Linked DNA regions of Danio rerio. The protein of the gene in region 1 purifies or fractionates together with the protein of each later gene. This does not show direct contact. Links are inferred from orthologs where the notes say so. Each region holds a gene or a part of one and is shown on either strand. Other genes may lie near its edges. The genes, in order: rapgef2b and magi1b.

Region 1 (3,928 bases):
TGTGTGGAGTTTGCATGTTTTCCCTGTGTTGGCGTGGGTTTCCCCCACAGTCCAAAGAGATGCGCTATAGGGGAATTGAATAAACTAAATTTGCCATAGTGTATGTGTGAATGAGTATGTATGGTGTTTCCCCGTACTGGGTTGCAGTTAGAACGGCTGTGTAAAACATATGCTGGATAAATTGGTGGTTCATTCCACTGTGGCAGCCCCTGATTAATGATCTTGTCTACTGTCCTGAGTGTCTCTCAAGCTGGCCCCGGGCCATCGGGCAGTCCTTATTGTTGAGCCCTGATATATTTTGTCCCCAGCCACGTCGACATCTGTTAGATTATTTGCTATGTTTGTTTTAGAAAGGTACATTGCAACTGTTTTGTTTACATTGAGTTTTAAACAGGACTGGTTTAACCGTTCTGAGACATAACAATAATAATGATCTTTATTCAGGACGACTGTAAAAGCAACATTCATTCATTTTCCTTGGGCTTAGTCAATTTATTCATCAAGGGTGGCCAGAGCAGAATGTACCACCTTATTCGGCATATGTTTTACACAGTGTGTAAACACCTTCCAGCTGCAACCCATCACTGGGAAACATCCATACACACTCATTCATACCCATACAATTTGGCCAATTTAGTTTATTCAATTCACCTATAGCGCATGTCTTTGAACTGAAACCGGAGCTCCCGAAGGAAACCCACACCAGCACAGCGAGAACATGCTAACTCCACACAGAAATGCCAACTGGGACTTGAACCAGCGTCATTCTTGCTGTCAGGCGACAGAGCTAACCATTGAGCAATAATACAGTATAACCTTTTCTTCAAAGCTGCAATTCCACCATCGTCCAGCGGATGTCGCCAAAACTCCACGTGTTGTGAGTAAAGCGCACTGAGGGCGCATTACAAGCATTGTGCTGAATGGACTCGCCCATGAACCTCTTGAGGCGCTCGGTCGGTCACCATGGTGGTGGCGGCGGCTTTTACAACAGCAAGCCCAGACAGACAGCAGACCATCCGTCGCTTCTAGACACTGAAACACTCAGTATAAATGCTGCTTTTCACTCTCCGCTGCTTTGGAAATCACTTAAAATGGACACTCGCCAAAGCGCGTGCAATGGACATTGTTTTAGGATGGAAAACTGAAGATGGAATAGCGAACAGGGGACAAACGGAATGCTGAGAAATGCACTCGTCTGCGTAAAACAGAGCTAAAACTCACTGCTTAAAAATCTCCTCTCAGCGTCCGGTTGGAGAAGCTCCAGCGGCTGGAAGAGGAAAAAGCAGCCGGTCTGGTGCCTGTGGGATCGGGTCGAGGGACATTAAGAAAGCTCCTGGCTCAGGCTGTGGCCTGGGGACAAGACAAGCTCTCTCTGCAGCTTCCGAGAAATAAAAACTGGGTTTGTGCCCCCTTCATAAACAAACCACTTGCGTGAGAGATCGGCTGTGGATTATCCAGGAGCATGGCGTCCTATGTGGATAACAGTTTTCGGCAGGCGGTGATGGTGAATCCGTCAGACAGGACGCAACAGGTCAGTCTTTAAATCATTTATTATGTGGCTGTTAACTGTTACAGTATACGCTGGGTTTCTGCTGTGTGTCATGTGGAGGAAATTAATGTACCCTTATAGTGTTGACAGTGCTGTAGTTATGCTACTTTACACGCGTATCTGAATTCAATTGTCCTAATAAGCTTATAAGATATTCGCGTTAATGTTATCTTCAATGTTTTTGGAGTCTATTAACATCAACATGAATGTAAACTTAGCATCGTTCACAACTAAACACGCTTTGTTTTCATGGGAAATAGTTTAACATGACTTAAATGTTGAATATAGGAAGGTTTATATGTTTAGCACAGCATTTTTGTGCGGTTAGCCTATGATTTGGAAGACGTTGCTATGACATTTGCTGTAACGTTATAGTCTCCACCCTTTGGTGGGCTCAGTCGGCGAGAGAGGAACATTATCTTATTATTACTTTGCTGTGAGGATATTGATATATGTAAAAGTCGAGATGAATTTGCATTTTAGTTTGTGTTATTTATGTTAGTTTGGGATCATTTGGAGAAACTAAGATAACGATTCGATCCTAGTGAGTCGCTTTCTTAAAGTGACAGGCTGCTTTGTCAGACATAAAGGAAGACAAATGATTCTTCTATTGTACATCTGGATAATTAGATTTTACCTCCTGTTTTATATCAGCTTACGGTCATTTTGATCCAGATTGTGTGCTTTTTACCTTAAATAACCGAATAGGGTCTATGTTTAAAGTGCATTTGAGGTCATTCTCATATAATAGAATCATTGTTTATTGTGTGTGAACGAGTCGGAGTTTGAATGAATCGTTTAAGTGAGCGATTCTGAATGAACTGATGCAGATTGCGCTGGTTTTAAAACCAAATGTAATAATTTAAGTTATATTTTAGTTATAATAATCAATTCAGTTACTTCTCAAATGAGCAGAGTGAAGCATTTCTGTGAATAATTTGGGGATTTATTCATTCAGCTATTAAAATCAATGCAGTTGGAGATAGGGCTGCAGAATATATTGATTCAGCATTGATATCACAATGTGTATGTTCACAATAGTCACATCGGAGAATATGCAATGTTGAGTTGGGATTATAATTGACCAGAAGAGATTTGTAGAGCCACTGCAGAATTTAACCATAATATGTTGAAAGTTTGTCATTTGTGTGCATCTTTATTCATTCCTGAAACTGTGTGAGGGTTTTTAAGATCGTTTAAAGCATTCAGGCACAAGAAATTGTACGGTTTGTAACTAATAAAGATTATTTTTTTGTAATTTAAATGATGAAGACCTATTTATTGTTATTTTACATTTAATTCTTCAATTAATTTACCTGAAAACTGTTAGGCTCCCCAGAAAACCACAAATGATGTCACTTAATCTTTGCTCCGTTGTGTTTATTTATGACTGTAGGTTTTGATTTTTATATAATAGATAATATCAAATATATATTTATATAAAATAATAAATAGACCTATGCTTGATTATTTTCAAAACCAAATTTAATAACCTTTATTTAACCAGGTGAGTCATTTGAGAACCAGTTCTCATTTACAATGACGACCTGGCCAAGAGGCAACATAAAACGTAGATACTAAGCAGCAGTGACACAATACAATAACAATTTCACTAATGCAGATAATAATATATATATAAAAAAAAAAACTAAAAACAAGCACTGTTATCTTGTACTATTAACTGGATTTAATTTTTAAAGGATGATAGTGGAATAAAAGTGTTGAGCTTTAAGGTCTGCTGCAGATGATTCCCATAGATATACATTAGATGTCGCCTGGCCTATTGTTGTCTATTGGACGGAATGCGTCAATAGCGCCGCCATCTTGCTACAGGGTAGCGCTCCTTTGAAATGAATGCGGGACCAAGGTACAGTGGAGGACTGTGGCCATCCAAAGCCAGAGATATACACATATACACATATATCTATGATCAGGAGTTTTCCTGGATGTTAGTGTGTAATTCTTTTTTTGTTTCTAATTACGAAAATTATAATTTTACATCACTTTTCTACATTGATGGATCAGTGACCGCACGGGCATTCCTGACAAGAAGCTTGTGTTTGTGTGTACCGAAATGTACTTTTCACCCTCCCTGTTAAATTTAATATAATCCGTGTCCTGAAACACACCTCCTCTCCTGCTTTCACTTCTCATACTGACGGAGGAGCAATTCGTTTGTGAATGAATCCCCCGAACGACTCTTTCACTAACGTTAGCCGACAATAATACAAGTTTCAACAACTCTGCACAGTTAAAAAACATGGCAGATTACCTCAGAAATATAGGCTATATGTCATATACGGCATATTATATACATAATTTCTGATAAATTTTTAAATGTGTGTAGTATGTACATGACATATTTCATTCCTCTGCGTA
Region 2 (3,828 bases), on another chromosome or scaffold:
GTATAACTATTATAATGCACAACACTATTGTTTCACAAAGTTATAGATAGATAGATAGATAGATAGATAGATAGATAGATAGATAGATAGATAGATAGATAGATAGATAGATAGATAGATAGATAGATAGATAGATAGATAGATAGAAAGTGTGCTCGTGAAGTTAACTTTGCTGCACAGCTTTTTCTTGAAACAAAATATTCTCAAGATTTGCTGTGTCCTAATACTCAAAGGTATACATAATAATCTTCTACACAGGGGCCAACAGATTTACCGTTGCCGATTGCCATAGCTCACTAGTTGTGCATCGCTTTTCTCATTGCAGGAGGTAAGCCATTTTTCACAAGGAACCCTGCAGAACTGAAGGGGACATTTATTAACACCAAGCTCAAGAAGAGCAGGCGTGGGTTCGGCTTCACTGTAGTAGGAGGAGATGAACCCGATGAGTTCTTGCAGATTAAGAGTCTTGTGCTCGATGGACCCGCTGCCCTTGACGGAAAGATGGAAACAGGTACATCTGAAAACCATGAACTCATAAACGCGTGATGTAGTCTAATCTTTGTACTTTGCTCATCGCAAGTTTTTTTTTTCTCCCTCAGGTGATGTTATTGTAAGTGTGAACGACACTTGCGTTTTGGGTTACACACACGCCCAAGTTGTGAAGATCTTCCAGTCAATCCCTATTGGCTCTATGGTCGACCTTGAACTCTGCCGTGGCTACCCTTTGCCCTTTGACCCTGATGACCCCAACACCAGCCTGGTGACTTCAGTGGCCATTCTGGACAAGGAGCCAATCATTGTCAATGGAAAAGAAAGCTACGACTCACCATCCAGCCACGGGAGCGAAACTACAGCTGGAGGCAGTAGCTTAAATGGCTCCAGTGATCCTCCTCGCCCCCATAGCCCTTCAGCAGAGGTGGCTTCCAATGGCTCTCATGGTTATCCCAGTGATGTGGTGACTTTGGCGTCCTCGATCGCCACCCAGCCCGAGCTTATTACTGTCCACATGGAAAAAGGCGACAAGGGATTCGGCTTCACAATAGCAGACAGCCCGTCTGGAGGAGGCCAGCGAGTAAAGCAGATAGTGGATTACCCACGATGCAGAGGCCTGAGGGAAGGTGACATCATCATGGAGGTGAACAAGAGGAACGTGCAGAACCTGACGCACAATCAGGTGGTCGACCTGCTCAGCAAGTGTCCTAAAGGCAGTGAAGTGACCATGTTGGTGCAACGAGGTAAGCTCACCAAAATGTTATGACATGAAAGGAAAAGTGAGAAAGGAAATCCAAAAGCATTAAAAAAAAAACAAAAACAAAAAAAAAAACGGTTGCTTGCATGGAAAAATGCTAATTTGCTGTTGATTTACTTATCCTCAGGTCAGACAAGATCCAGGTGACTTACAGTAGAGCATTAATAAAAGGTTTTTGTCTTGAACCTGGTGGCTTGGTTTTTCTTTAAATACAAATCATTGACTACAACACTTTCAGAATCACTATTATTTAATTTGTTTTGTCTGTTTTTCATTTATTCATTCTGAAAGTGCCGGTAGCCATTTACTTCCATTTTATGAAACACCAGGGACCAAGGTTTGAGCTAAAAATCTTTTAAATGTTCTGCTGAGGAAAAGAGTTACCTTCATCCTGAATGAACTGAGTAGGGAGGGAAACACTTTCAAATTTCACAACATTCCAAAGTTCATGTTTTGTAAACTCCAACTGGCAAATTTTTGTCTTGTTGACCTGGACAATAGTCGATCTTTATAAATGCTTCTACTAATATATTACACTTTTCTGCAATTCGGTAGATATAAGGTTAGATTTGCTGGATAAAACAAATCTAAATTTATATCTAGAGAATATATTACATATTTTAAATTGGTTTAATTTAGGAAATGTGCCAAATAGTGTGACAACATTAGAGCGTCTGTCAATATTCTGTGTGCTTAAAGTCTAGTGTAACCATCTTTAAGAGTATAGTTTTTATTTTATTACCAATATTTTATAATTTATTATATTATATTACAAGTATTTTTACTAATTATATAATATAATAAATATAAATATTCAAGGCAAGAAGGTCGCTGGTTCGAGCCCCAGCTGGGTCAGTTGGCATTTCTGTGTGGAGTTTGTATGTTCTCCCCGTGTTCGCGTGGGTTTCCTCTGGGTGTTCCAGTTTCCCCCACAGTCCAAAGACATGCGGTACATGTGAATTGAATAAACTGAATTGGCCGTAGTGTGTGTGAGAGTGTGTATGGGTGTTTCCCAGTGTTGAGTTGCAGCTGGAAGGGCATCCGCTGCAAAAAAAAAAACATATGCTGGATAAGTTAGCGGTTCATTCCGCTATGGTGACCCCAGAATAATAAAGGCTAAGTCTAAAAAAAAAATTAATGAATATGAAAACTAAATATAAAAATTCTAAAATATATATGTAAATCTCCCTCACGTTATATGATTTGATGTCATTTTTGATCAAAGTAACATCCTTACTAAAAATATATATACAAAAAAATCATACTGACACATTAACTTTCAGTTTGGAAGGGCATCTGCTGCGTAAAACACATGCTGGATAAGTTGGCAGTTCATTCCGCTGTGGTAACTCCAGATTAATAAAAGGACTAAGCTAAAAGGAAAGTGAACCAATGAATGAATTTCTGTTAGTTTATTATATTTTATAACATTTTTCTTTAAGGTTTTATCCCATAAAAGAACAAATTGTGGTTGGTTGGCTGGTTGGTTTAGAAGTCACTAAGGGCGTATTCACACTATGCTATACGAACCGTGCCCAGGCCCGTTTCCCGGATCATTTGAGAAGTGTAAGTGCACTGAATTGGGCGCAGTTCACTTGGGTTTGGCGTGGTACGCTTGTGTGTGAGTGCAAAATGTGCCTAAGCCCGAAACTGAAAGAGAGACATAACTTTTAGGGGCCGTTTCATATGGATTTATTAATAATTCTTACTGTTCAATGAAAGAAAAGTGTCATAGATCATTAAAGACGAAAACACTTCACTACACGACACCTGCGCACCTACAGCAACCTACTAATTCCTGCAGCACGAGGACTTTATGGTTATTTATGAGCGTCAAAAGTGGCAGATCTGTTTGGCGAAATATTTGACTGTGTCACTGCATCTCAATCGATATAACTAAAGAAATGTCCACTGCGCTGAGCAAGGGCGCTTACTCACTAGTGCAGCATCGATGACGTAATCGTGTCCAGGCCCGAATGTAATGTGACTACGGGCCGTCGGGGAGACGGGAGGGGGGACAAGCGTGCTTTGGCCCGGTTTAAGGCAACTGTACATAGTGTGAGTACGGCCTAAGATGTCACTGATTGGCTTCATATTTTTGCTCTTACATGCTGTAAGCTCCTTTCTCACATTTTTTTCCTCACTTTACTGTTGTTTTCATCTGCATGCTACACCTTGGAATGTGAACAGCATCCTTCAGTGTTGGCCTGGCTCTGTGCAGACCTTTATGGTTGAGTGTAGAGAAAGAAATATAAACAGAAAGCAGCCCGATTAAAGACTAACACATGTGGCTGTTCAGTTAGTGTTCATGAATGAAAGTTCATGCAGTTGAGATGAAGAGTGAATGACAGGAAAGTGTCCAGACTAAGATGCTCTGTGCCGATCATAAATATGAAGCCTATGGCTCTTTCTTTTCCCTTGAGGACCTAACTCAGCTGTCTGTTAACCCCCATATGACACTTCCACACTGGTTTCTCTGTCTGTCTTGAATTTTATGGTTGGAAAAAAGATAGAAATGTCAAGGTTACCTGTTTTTGGCTTGCAAAAGAGACTAAAAGAAAGAGATGAAAGAGGAATAG

The links.
Region 2: the proteins of rapgef2b (region 1) and magi1b purify together in Homo sapiens (co-immunoprecipitation; 3 studies listed by BioGRID and IntAct, with this or other methods). This does not show direct contact. The link is inferred for Danio rerio from reciprocal best matches to the Homo sapiens genes RAPGEF2 and MAGI1.

What each region holds. Positions count from the first base shown.
Region 1 is NC_133189.1:52,681,853-52,685,780, reverse strand, and holds the start of rapgef2b (rap guanine nucleotide exchange factor 2), read left to right. Parts: upstream 1-932; 5' UTR 933-1,462; coding exon 1,463-1,531; intron 1,532-3,928. UniProt on the Homo sapiens protein: Functions as a guanine nucleotide exchange factor (GEF), which activates Rap and Ras family of small GTPases by exchanging bound GDP for free GTP in a cAMP-dependent manner.
Region 2 is NC_133186.1:21,133,526-21,137,353, forward strand, and holds part of magi1b (membrane-associated guanylate kinase, WW and PDZ domain-containing protein 1b), read left to right. Parts: intron 1-325; coding exon 326-511; intron 512-599; coding exon 600-1,235; intron 1,236-3,828. UniProt on the Homo sapiens protein: Plays a role in coupling actin fibers to cell junctions in endothelial cells, via its interaction with AMOTL2 and CDH5. May regulate acid-induced ASIC3 currents by modulating its expression at the cell surface.